3 linked regions of the Saccharomyces cerevisiae S288C genome follow. The gene in region 1 interacts genetically with each later gene. Each region holds a gene or a part of one and is shown on either strand. Other genes may lie near its edges.

The links.
Region 2: mutations in AQY3 (region 1) and SPG4 together harm fitness less than expected from each alone (positive genetic interaction), as found in Saccharomyces cerevisiae (one large-scale study listed by BioGRID).
Region 3: mutations in AQY3 (region 1) and TRI1 together harm fitness less than expected from each alone (positive genetic interaction), as found in Saccharomyces cerevisiae (one large-scale study listed by BioGRID).

Annotation. Positions count from the first base shown.
Region 1 is NC_001138.5:19,065-25,391, forward strand, and holds AQY3 (Aqy3p), read right to left. Parts: upstream 3,724-6,327; coding exon 1,783-3,723; downstream 1-1,782. Other genes in the region: DAK2 (dihydroxyacetone kinase), read left to right, coding at 4,359-6,134. UniProt on the Saccharomyces cerevisiae protein: Channel protein that mediates glycerol entry under ethanol stimulation. Does not seem to mediate glycerol uptake under standard conditions.
Region 2 is NC_001145.3:480,534-483,861, reverse strand, and holds SPG4 (Spg4p), read right to left. Parts: upstream 849-3,328; coding exon 501-848; downstream 1-500. Other genes in the region: YMR106W-A (uncharacterized protein), read right to left, coding at 2,675-2,938. UniProt on the Saccharomyces cerevisiae protein: Stationary phase-essential protein not required for growth on nonfermentable carbon sources.
Region 3 is NC_001145.3:736,840-740,365, reverse strand, and holds TRI1 (Tri1p), read right to left. Parts: upstream 1,182-3,526; coding exon 501-1,181; downstream 1-500. Other genes in the region: RNH1 (RNA-DNA hybrid ribonuclease), read right to left, coding at 1-100; FUS2 (Fus2p), read right to left, coding at 1,407-3,440. UniProt on the Saccharomyces cerevisiae protein: May be involved in transcription regulation.

The DNA of each region.
Region 1 (6,327 bases):
AGAAAGTCGTTTATGAAAGAGAAAAGAAAGAAGAAGAAAAATCAAATTTACGGCAAAAACAATAAATCAATGTTAAAGCACTAGTAATTGCCGGATGAAAAGGTTCAGAAATTGGTTGCGGAACGTTTTTACGCCGGCCAGGGTTTTTCATAGACCATTTATGAGATATTATACAGCAATATTCTAGCACAAAAGATAATCAACCCGAAATATCAATTTCATAGGGTATAAACCCAAGAACCTCTTGACCGGTGACTTTTTCTCCGAGTTATATTCTAGACCAAGCACCTCTTTTCACCTAGCACATCTTATCCTGTTCCTGAAAAATACAGTTTATACGAGCTTGCGTGTTTTCCAAAGAAAAGAGCAAATGCAAGATTCAAGATTACTGTTCTTGTTTTATTTGCACTTATCCAATCAAAAGCTCGTTTAGGGATTGTAGAAGAGCTGACTATTGTAGTTAAATATTAGGGGAAATGAATATATTTTATCATGGGAAATACGTGGAACGTGTAATATGTTGTTGCTGCTCCCAAAATAAATTTACCTGACGAAAACCTTATATTTCCGGAAAAAAAAGCTTAAAGATAAAAGGTTAATTGTACTTTTAAACTCTTGCGGAATCTCTGTGCTCGGAGAAAAATATCCTGGAAAAGAAGATGCGGGGTAGGCGGACTTAAAAGATAAGTGCACATTTTTCCGGACTTCGAGTGGCGACAGACAGCCTGTTAACTATTTTTGAGAATAATTAATCTTTAGGGGGGTTTTAGTAAAACAAACAAAAGACTCAAAATAACGCCAAGAACATCCGAAGAAGTCCTGGTCGCGCTTTTTGCTGAGGTGGCTTTAAAAAACTAGTTTGCTGAGAGATGTAATAATGGCTTTAACAGATAATTCCTCGTTTGGCCACATTATCAAAAGGCAACCTCTTTCTGAAAACGGTATAGCCGGAAATGACTGCCGAGTTATATTATTGTTCGGTATACTCAAGTTATTGGTACGAAATATACGATAAGAATCTACCGAATTTTCATCCATTTAGTGAGAACGTTGGGTGAATTGAAAAAGGTGATAGATTTTTCTGCTTTGGCCTTGGATTAGCCAAAGTATCAATCCTTAAAATATTTGCTGGCAGTGTGATTTTTGCCCCTATCTGAGCAAATTTTGTTATCTTTTTCAACGTCAGGCTGAAATTGACAACTTGAGTAACGTAAATCAATATGGCACTTCTCCAATTTATATCGCATGAGAAAAATAGCATTGGTCAATCATACAGAACGTAACATCAAAAAACAACCGTTTACATATATATAATCACTTGTCTAAAATTGATTGAAATTGCATATGAGAAAATATATGATAATGACAATAATTTTCTTTGAGCACAATTAGTTTATTTGGCAACTTGCTCTTTATTATTAGTAAATATAGCACATATTCATATAAAACACATCTTCAGTGGGATTACCTAGTTGATGGTGCCAGGAATTTTCCTATCGTCAACGAGCTGAAAATTTTATTATTTTTATTAATAACATAATGTGAGACTCCTGGTTTGACATTTAATTTTACGTATTAGTCGAATTTTGTTCTTGCCTACAATAAAAAGACAATTAAGCCGCAGGCAGTCTCATTCTTTATTACAAAAACAAAACGATAGAATTTAGAGCACAAGTAAGAGATGGTAACAAAGTCACGGCTCCCGGATGTAGTATGTCGTCAAATAATAAGTTCGTGAAATTAATAATTAGGTTATAAATCGTAAAAAATTGAAAATATTAATTATGACGAAGTAGGCACAGATTTCTTGCTGCCAGTGTTGCTGTTGCTGTTAACACCAGATTCATCTGAGACAGTGCCATCATTCTGGTGGAACTCCGCATGTAAAAGTTTACCTACCCTATTCTCAATATAACCGTTGTCTGGGTAGTTGACTGGGGATTCGCATCCAGTAAAAATGAAAATGTCATATATGAGTGCTCCAGCAATACCGCCGGCAATTGGACCACCCCAGGCTCCCCATGTCCACCACCAATGTGTGAGATGAAAAGCATGTGGACCATAGCCAATCATGGAAGCAAATATGCGAGGACCGAGATCTCTTGCAGGATTGATTGTGAAACTTGTTTGATATCCAAGGGCCATACCAATTGCAGCGACTAAGAATCCAATAATTAATGCGGTCATACCATTGCCAGGTGGAGCATTACTATCATCCAATAGCGCCATCAAACAACCCACAAGTATAGAGGCTCCTATGAATTCGTCAAAGAAGGCATTTCTCCACGTGACGTAAGACTTTGGATCAGTAAACAAACACGCACCGGTCGCCGTTGTTCTTATGTGCGGACCTCCCTCAAATTCTGTGATAGAGCTCCAAAAATAACCATAAGCCATAGCTCCTCCAAAATATGCACCGATAATCTGAGCAACAATATATACGGGCACCTTTTTCCAGGGGAATTTTCGAAAAATTGCCATTGAAATCGTAACAGCAGGGTTAATATGACCACCACTAATACCGCCTGCGACGTAAACACCAAGCATACAACCGAACCCCCATGCAAATGATAGGGATTCATAGGAACCACCACTACCTTTTGTTACAGTTGCTTGAAGATTACCACCAACACCAAAAATGACAAGAACTAGTGTCCCGAGAAACTCCGCAAACGGTTCTCGCATATGATAGCGAATTTTTGCCCAAAAGTTAGGAAATGTCATTATATCCGCGTCTTCATCTTCTGAGGCACCAATTTCATTACCATCTAATGCACTCGTACTTTTATTTTCCTCTTCAATAAGTTCTTCAGGAAGCTTCGTATAAACCGGAGTAGAACCATCGAGGGTTTGCATGTTCTTTAATTTTCTGGATTCTGCATCGGCTATGGAGGATGCGTAGCTTTCATCGCCTAATGAAAAATTGACATTATGCGAAGTACGCTTTTTCTTACGTGAAACATTCTCAATATGCGTGTTAGAGGGCTTTTGTGGGTTTTCAGGCTCTAACTTAGTAGGTTTCACATCTGCACCAACAGTATTATCGCGTTGCGTTTGAGCTTCGATGTCACCAAGCTTTTTACCCGGTGCTGCACCTCTAAGGAGCCTTTTCCAGTCTTTCACTGACGTAGTAGAACCCCCCCTTGAAATATCGGTCGACCCTCGTCTCGATGATGCGCGGGACCTTGCATCCATATTCTTTTGTATCATCTTTGCTGCCAAGCCTCGATCCAATACATGCGGTAACGGCTGATTTAAACTCCAAACAGGCCTGTTCCTGCTACTACCCATAGTTGGATTTAATTGCCGATATAGTGGGTCTACATAATTATTACTGTTGCCTTGATTTACCCCCCTGGATAGATAATCTTGCATTATACGTGCTTGCTCAGCATCTGAAAAACTGTTTAAAGTCTTCAAATTAGGCAAAGAATAAGTAAAACCCATGGAAGGGACCTGTGGTTGTACCGAATCCTTCCTCTCGTCAACCACTTTTTTCAAGGGTGTCAAAGCAGAAAGTTTATTTCTCGATGATCCTCCAGTTTCAATTGCTTTTCGAGTCTCACCTAGCTTTCGCCTCAAGAGAGTGCTGTCATTTTCGTTATTTTCCCTAGATTTTTTGACACTTTCTTCCCAAGCTATTTTACCATTAGGTTCTTCTTTTAGCGTTGGTGGCCGTGTACTCTCGGAAGAGGAGGATGACCTCCCAGATTCGTAACTCATTACTTGGGTCTAGATCATATATCAGAGGAGCGTTATACTGTGCGATTATACGCTTCTTTTTATATGAATAAGGGGGAGACATGGTGAAAAGGTACCAGAACTTTTGATCGACCAAGACTAGGTAAAGCTCAAACAACGTTTATAACTCAAATTTCCGGGGTAAGTGGGGTACCGGAAAATTATGATATTCCGGAGCGGAGTTATCAACGGAGAAAACTAGGCCTTCTGATGGAACTTAATTTAAAAAATTAATCACAACCTATGCATATTATTCCCGCAGAGGGTGATTGTGAGTAAATCCCTGCACAGAAACAATTCCCGCCAGGCCATAACTAGATTCTAAATTATTTAACTCATAATTTCATGAAATCGTATCGTAGTACCAAATAGGGAGATATTGAGCCAAGTAAATTCTTACGTCACCATAGTTGGATAATTAAGTACTTGATATTGTATAAGGATCTCAACAATACGAGAAGGGGAAAATACCGCAATGTGTGATTGAATTTTCAAACTTTGGATCATTAAATATATATAAATGAACCCAGATCAGCCCTTTTTTTTTCTAGTATTGTCTGTAAAGTGTATTTTACCTCAAAATCTGACAAAACCCAACTACAATTGACTAAATAATCATGTCTCACAAACAATTCAAATCAGATGGAAACATCGTTACTCCCTACCTACTTGGCCTTGCTCGAAGCAATCCCGGCCTTACAGTGATTAAGCACGACAGAGTGGTTTTCCGGACTGCGTCAGCTCCTAATTCAGGGAACCCTCCTAAAGTTTCATTGGTTTCTGGAGGTGGCAGTGGTCATGAGCCAACGCATGCCGGTTTTGTTGGTGAAGGTGCCTTAGATGCGATTGCAGCAGGTGCCATTTTTGCTTCTCCTTCAACTAAACAGATCTATTCTGCTATTAAAGCTGTTGAATCTCCTAAGGGTACCTTGATCATTGTAAAAAATTACACCGGTGATATTATACATTTTGGTCTCGCTGCTGAAAGAGCTAAAGCTGCTGGAATGAAAGTCGAACTGGTTGCTGTAGGAGATGATGTCTCTGTCGGTAAGAAGAAAGGTTCTTTAGTCGGGCGTCGAGGTCTCGGAGCCACCGTATTGGTGCATAAAATTGCTGGGGCAGCCGCTTCTCATGGACTGGAGTTGGCAGAAGTTGCCGAAGTTGCTCAGTCAGTAGTTGACAATAGTGTCACAATTGCGGCATCTCTTGATCACTGCACGGTTCCTGGCCACAAACCTGAAGCCATTTTGGGCGAGAATGAGTATGAAATCGGTATGGGTATTCATAACGAGTCTGGTACCTATAAGTCTTCTCCGCTGCCATCGATTTCTGAGCTCGTTTCCCAGATGCTTCCTCTTCTTCTCGATGAGGATGAAGACCGTTCTTATGTGAAGTTTGAGCCCAAAGAGGACGTAGTTCTTATGGTTAACAACATGGGTGGTATGTCTAATCTAGAATTGGGTTATGCTGCAGAGGTCATTTCTGAACAATTGATTGATAAGTATCAAATTGTGCCCAAGAGAACGATTACTGGAGCATTCATTACTGCATTGAATGGTCCTGGGTTTGGTATCACTCTTATGAACGCTTCAAAAGCTGGTGGCGATATCCTTAAGTATTTCGATTATCCTACCACAGCGAGTGGATGGAATCAAATGTACCATTCTGCCAAAGATTGGGAGGTACTTGCCAAAGGGCAGGTTCCCACCGCCCCCTCTTTAAAGACATTGAGGAATGAAAAAGGTTCGGGTGTGAAAGCTGATTATGACACTTTTGCTAAAATTTTGCTTGCTGGGATTGCAAAAATTAACGAGGTTGAACCAAAGGTTACTTGGTACGATACCATTGCAGGAGATGGTGATTGCGGAACTACTCTTGTGTCCGGTGGTGAAGCATTGGAAGAAGCTATTAAAAACCATACGTTGCGCCTCGAGGATGCTGCTCTTGGTATCGAAGATATTGCGTATATGGTTGAGGATTCTATGGGTGGTACGTCCGGTGGTCTGTACTCTATCTATCTTTCTGCTCTCGCACAAGGAGTTAGGGATTCTGGGGACAAGGAACTTACTGCGGAAACTTTCAAAAAGGCATCAAACGTTGCACTAGATGCTTTGTATAAGTATACGAGAGCCCGTCCTGGTTACAGGACTCTGATCGATGCTCTGCAACCTTTTGTCGAAGCGCTGAAAGCCGGGAAGGGTCCCAGAGCCGCCGCCCAAGCTGCTTATGATGGTGCCGAAAAGACAAGGAAGATGGATGCCCTTGTTGGGCGTGCTTCTTACGTGGCTAAGGAGGAGCTGAGAAAACTCGACAGCGAAGGTGGATTACCAGATCCAGGAGCAGTTGGTCTTGCTGCACTACTCGATGGATTTGTTACAGCTGCTGGGTACTAGAATTGCTCGTACACACTAGAAGCCAAACATAACAGCTTTAAAGGCTTTCATTTTTGAACTTTTTAAAAAATTGAATACTCCAACTGAAGGTGAACTAGTTGTGTCTCTGAATATATTTTTATAGATATACGAATTGATGAAGTACCGCAAATTAAGCTAAAAAGTAATGCTTCTTGCAGCTTTTAATTGTTCT
Region 2 (3,328 bases), on another chromosome or scaffold:
TTAGAAATTTGGAAACTTGATAAGAAAATAAATGATAGCATATATATCAACCAGATAAGAGAAATACAAGTTCATCAAAAAAATATTCTTTTTCATTTTTTTTTTTTTTTTTTTTTTTCAGAGAAATGAATCATCGCTACCGAATAGATGGAAGATTAGAAAAAAAAAGAAAAAATACGAACCTTTTGGCGTGGGGCGCTGATTTTTCCGCGCCGAGATCAGCAACTGAAGCCAAGCCGGTACCGGCAGGCTCCGGCGGCTAGGCGTTTGTCACCTTTCATCCGTGCCGACTGACAGACAATGATACTAAAAGACAGTAATTATGGTATTAGTGGCAAAGTTCTGTTTACATAACTTCTTATTGCTTATATAGGTATGAAAAAAGACATAAGGATGCTATCATATAAAACTAATGGAAACACTGAAAAGCATAATAAATATATAATCATGTTAGAATAAATAGACAACACAAGAAAAGACACTATGAATATCTCCTCCATTTATCTATTTACTTTATTGTCGGGTTCCCCCCTCCTCAAACTTTCGTAAAGTCTTAAAAACTCACCTTGCGACATGTTAGAGATGTCAACATTCTTTGGTATTTCTACTTCTGCGGGTAATCTCCCTTCCTTAACGTCCTCAACATCGGAACTGTCCTGTGATCCTATGGAAGATCTTCTCATGCTCTGCAAGTTCTCTTGCTGATGTGTCCTAGGTTGACGGTACTCTTTCGAAAACATAACCTGCGTTTTACTGTCTCCTGTGTTGTTATGGTTTCCTCCATATACACTTGGATCTGCGTGCTTTTTCTTGTCGTATACTGCGAATGCGTCCCAAAAACTACCCATATTTGATATCTCGATTAGTTGGTTTTATTTATCTTGTTACAGAAGTGGCTACAAAAAAAAATTTTATGGAGTTGCAATAGGAAGGGAGGCTCCTATTTATATACTCACTACAAGATATGGGGGTGATTAGCCAAGCAAGATTGTTATCGCACATCATTACCCCACCCTGCTCCCTCTTATCTCCCTGATTCTGTCACCACTACTTCACATCTAGTACCTTAGAACCCAGTCATAAAAGCGCAAACTGACTGGTGTACTTTCCCGAAATATTGCTTAATTGTGCCTTGTGGAGGCTTTAGCAATTAAGGGAGGCGGCTGATGTCCATCAACCGCCCTGCCAGGAGCCAGATGGCGATGTATGGGGTTTTGGCAAAGCGCAGGGAAGTCACTCTTTTGCGTTGGGGTGACGCCGCCGTCCTCATGATGTGTTAGTTATACGTAAATCATGACTACCAGGCACATCAGTGGACGGCGCTAACACCCTTCATCATTTCTGCTCTGATAATTAAACGTGCCAGATGACTTTTTTTCAAATAGTGATGGATTCTTTTTACAGTTTATCTGGGCTTTATATAGGAGATTATTGCCATCCAGATAAAAATTGTAAGAATGATGATTATCTAAAGTTTAGGTTTTGTCAAAAGTTGGCGCTAAACTAGAAAATACAAAGGATTGAAACTTTGATAATCTTTTATGATATATATACTATGACACCATCACTTCTTATAATTGACATGTCTCACATCCCCTAGACACATTTTTATGATAGTGCTTTTTGCATTCTCTGATTGATATAGTTACGTAATTGACTTTTTTAGAGGTTATCGCGCAAACGACGAGTTTGAACGTAAACAAATATGAAACTAATACTGAAAAGGGAAGCATTGGTGATTTTTTTTTCTTGTTCGTACTTCCTTCTGAGCAGAAAGTAAAAAGCCCAGAATGCGACAAAGACATACTCCGGCTGACAATAACGCAAGTGCTGTCACATAAGACTCCTTATATATGACAGTTTGCTGTATTTGTACAGTTGGACCGTCTTCATTACAACAATATTTATTGAACAGTAGCTTGTAATAGGCCGGCATTTTTTTGGTTAATAACAATGCCAGATAACCGCGAAGATTTATAATGGTTTATCGGTTGCATTTTCCATGAGTATAGAAACTATTATAGCGACCTCATTCTCCGGTCATTTAAATTTCCAAGGATCTTAGAGTCCACAAAGGACACAAATAATTTTACATAATAACGATATTACCTCTTTTTCCATTTTATGCGTTGTCGTTCACTATCCTGTTACATTATCAATCTTCGCATTTTAGCTTTTACCACATCCGATAGCCGTTTCTCAATATTATGCCATCTTCCTACACCATATAAGATAATATACCAGTAATATTGATACCAGTGAATGGATGATAGTTGATTGTTATTCCAACAAATAAAATCACAATCATTATCACCATTGCAATGAAACTCCATTTATCATCTATTTAGTAGTATTCATGTTTCTAGTATATAATCATATGCGGTGTAAGAAAATGACATAAAGTTTGAGAAACAGTCATCAAATCTAATGAAAGCTGAAATGCGAAGATTGATAACGTAATAGGATAATAAACGACAACGTATAAAACGAAAGAAGATAAAGTAATTTTTATTATATAGATTTATCGACTCCCTTTTGTGGATTCCAAGATCCTCGAGGAGAACTTCTAGTATATACTGTATACCTACATTATAGCTTTTGTTGACAATGGAGTCCCAACAATTATTACAATATTCACTTATTTCTCACATCATTATGAAGTGACTCCCCTCGGTTAAACGTTAGCGTGTTCTTCATTGCCTGTGGATGAGGATGAGCGCCGGTGCAAACTTTCAAGTTTTTCGAGAGCGTCTTCAAACTTAGCTACCACATTGTTGTCTACATCAACAAAAGTATGGTTCCATACTAAACTACCATCTTCTTTATTGCCGCTTAATTGTAACACGTCTACATTACCAGAATGATGAACTCCGCCTGTCAGATAGTCGTGCTTTGGTGCGGTCTTGATAAAATTGTTGATTGCTTCCATCGATATCATGATTCAGCCTAGGATTTGTGGGTTGCTTTGATTGATTGGAAATGATCGACTATGAGACCTTGAACCAGTTTAATTTTAAAATAAATATTTTTGTTGAACTAGTTCAGCAACCGAAATCCAGAAAAAAAGTTCTAGAAGAATAGTTTTATTAACTTTGAGAAAGTAAAAGCTGAGATAAAAAACCAGCTCAACATATAAGAATACAAGCTGACGGTAAATAACAATAAGTAGCCTTGTTGGCGCAATCGGTAGCGCGTATGACTCTTAATCATAAGGTTAGGGGTTCGAGCCCCCTACAGGGCTTCTTTTTTTGAAGATTCAAGTAAATATGCTGCATACATAATTCTCATTCAAAATATATACACTTAAGACATCTGGCCTTTTCTAGTT
Region 3 (3,526 bases), on another chromosome or scaffold:
CACCATAACCATCAACTTGGTTTTTACATTCATTCCATGTATTATAGATCCCAGTTTCCCTGCCCTTTCTAACCGCGTAGAAGTTCCCTTGCCTTGCCATAATTAGGAATCGATAGTTCCTTCGATAAGCAAGGAGTGACACTTTAACTAATTTAAACAACGTGTATTATTGTGCTGCCATGAAATTAATATAGATCTTTACGACTATTGTACTTGCTTTTATTCATTGTTGATGCTGCTGTCATTTTTACATTTTTTTCTCCAGATAAAAAATAAAAAAAATATGCCATTAATTGATATCATCAGAATTTGACGAAATTCTCAAATCGAATTTGCCATAGTATTTCTTTAACGCCGTGAAGTGAAATTATTTATTACTAATGCTACATTAATTGTTAATTTACCTGTTTCAAGTACAATACAGTAGGTGCAGTGTGCTTTATACATGTCATCAAAGAGGAAAAAAAATCATTAAATTTGTATAAGTGCTACAGCCAAGATCAACCGCTTAAATTGGGAAGAGATTCGTTTTCCAATTTGATTTCTTTTTCGGGTGTTTGCTTTTGTTCCTCTTCATGTTTCACAATTTCATCGGGATTAAACAAGTGCTTAGTTAAGAGTTTATTCATTGAAAACATCGTCATTTTTTTGCCAAAAATTGGTTCCATCTTCTCATCGCATAGAATTTCTCTACGATCTTTTGGGTTTTGAAGATCATGCTCTTTGATATACTGCCATATCATCTTCACTACTTGCGTTCGTGGCAGTTCTTCAGATCCTAGAAACTTTTGTAAAGGAGCTGACAACAGAACTTTGCGGACGGAAATGCTGTTGGAATCAGGACTATCATTCTTTTTCTTCTTCCTTTTAGATTTACTTTCACTTTTACCTTTCCTTTTCCTCGTAGACCTCAAGGGTCTTTCTTCTTCCTTCTGTAACCTCAAAGATAGTTCTTGATCCCGACTAATGAGGTCGTTCTTCGGAATTAAGACTCTTGGGTTTTCTTGTATATCGCCGAACCTCTCAAGAATCAATTCATTAATTAACTTTCTTTGTGAATCCAAATTAACTGAATAGAGAATTTGCAGGGCTTTCCTCACCCTTTTTGGGCTTATTTCATCGGGGTTGGATACGCTCAAAATAGCGTCAACCATCGGAATATATTTATTGATGTCGGCCATAATGCTTTCACCCTCTATTTGCCTTCTATTTGCTCATTTCCTCTTAAACTTTTTCTTAAGGCTTTTCATGAATTAATTAAAATTTTCTTTCTCCTTCGCGCCAGCAAACAAATTATAGGTGACTGACTATAGTTCAACATATATACTGCTCCAGCGCAGTAGTACTACTTTAATAAAAAAGAAAACAAAACATTCTAAAAACTATAAGCTAAATATACTCTTTTGTTAAAGTTCGAAAAGTTTTCTGACAACACGGCTTCCACTAGGGTCTCCAGGGAAAGGCCAATCTTTTCTTACCATGCGTTTTGTCATATATCGTGATTTAGAATAACACTGCAAAATATCAAGATTTTTAATTTGGCCGGTAGCTATAGAGTCATTAAGAGACATATTTTCAAGATCTTTTTGCAGGTATTTTTTTCCACCAGCAATGATTTCCAAATATTTTAAGAAGACTTTGATATAGTTCAACAAGATACATTCGATAGTATCGTGGATCAAAGTAATAAAGACCGGTAATTCCCTTTTCATCTGGTTTTGCAGGTTTTGGAAATGCATTCCCAACAAGTCACGTTTAATATCTCGCACATTTGCTTTTTTTTCTTGTAAAAATAACATGTAATCTTTCTTCAAAGCTTGCAAATCTTTTAGTTTGCTTTTAACGGTAGTACAATGGGCTATGATTCTTTCAAGTGGGTTCATCACATCTGTTTCGAGCTCTGTGAGTTTCAAAATTGTTACTTGATTTTTTTGTTCATGCAGTTTATCTATGTACGAAGAACACATGGTCGATATTAAGTTATCGTGCGCAAAAAATGCACCAGAAGGGCGTTCGCACTCGATCACCTTTTTCCATGCATTTATTCTTCTTAAACTGATATCAATAATGCCTGACAGATCGTTTTTCAATAAATTCTTTTTTAATTCTAACAAACCTTTCATTACTTTCTTGAATTTACTGATGTGATCTGCCAATGTAAAAAATTCTGTTTCTTCATCCATTTTTAGATTTATCATCTCAGCTGAGGCAGTTGAAGTATTAGTGACAATTTCTAGCCCTGATACATCTGAGTAGTAACTCGATGATCCAGAAAGAAGAGAAGGAACTCTACTATTATCCAAATTACTCTCTTGTCGAGATGCATTACATATATTTTTATTTTGTTTGTCTGGGGGTTTTAAAAGGTGTGTAAACTGATCTTCATCATAACTTTGTATAATCTCTGATGGGGTTAAACTGAAATTATACATGGAATTACTCTTATACTCGGAGACCTCGGTTTCTAACTTATTGGAAAATAAAGAATATTTTCTTCTTGTCGGGCTTAGTTTCAAGCCCAATTCTGGCGAAAGAATATCTTCGTAACAGCTTTCCAAAGTTTCCAAAGTATCAATCCACTGAGTCAGTCTTTTCATCGGGCTTTTCAATATGTCCTCTAACTTTATACATCCACTCTCTTTTAAACAATATTCATACCACTTGTTAAAAAAATGATTCTTATTCATCCTTAATGTAGTAAATAGTTCCATTTGTTTTTGGTGGCTAACAAAATAGCTTGTGTAGGTGGATTTGATTCTTAACAAATGTTGCTCGAACGCCTCTGAAATATCAAAAGTTGAATATAGCTGCTGTTGTACCTCATTTTTGGTGAATATCTTTTGCCATTCATTCGCATCCAACATTTTCCCACGTTGCTTGGCTAAAAGTAGGTCTTTTATTGCCGTTACCAGTATTTTGCTGATTGACGCAATAGTGTCAATGTTCCCAAAAAGCAATAGCTCGTCACTTGAATCAAGCTTGACAAGTTTATTCTTGAATCTTGGATCACTATTCAATGCCTTTCTGTATACGTTATTTGCGGTTAACAAATTATTGTAATATTCCACTTCAGAGAGGTAAAACTCCTGTACGATTTTATAAAATTTGCATCCCTCGTGAGGAGAATTGGGAATCTGAGGGCTCAAATTCAGTCTCACGACATTTTGAAATATCTCTGTGTTAATAGGAGAGTAAATTTTTTTATTGCTCAGGCTCTCCACTATAGAATGCAAGTCCAGACTTGCTGGTCGTTTATTCGTGAATTTTTTATCGTTGAGTTTGTTTTCATGTTTCGATAACTTTCTCGTAGGTTTTCTAACAATTTCTGGTAATTTGTCATCATTTTTATGAAAATAGTCATTTTTGTAGTCTCTTATTGGCGTTAATGAATCATTTTTCGGATAGTTCAAATCGTACAAGTTATATGAAGTCTTAAACATCGCAAGGGGTTTTCTTGTCTTTTTCTTAAGAACTTACTATAACAAGAAAACCTAAAATTGGTTTCACAAAGAAAAAAGATACTTTG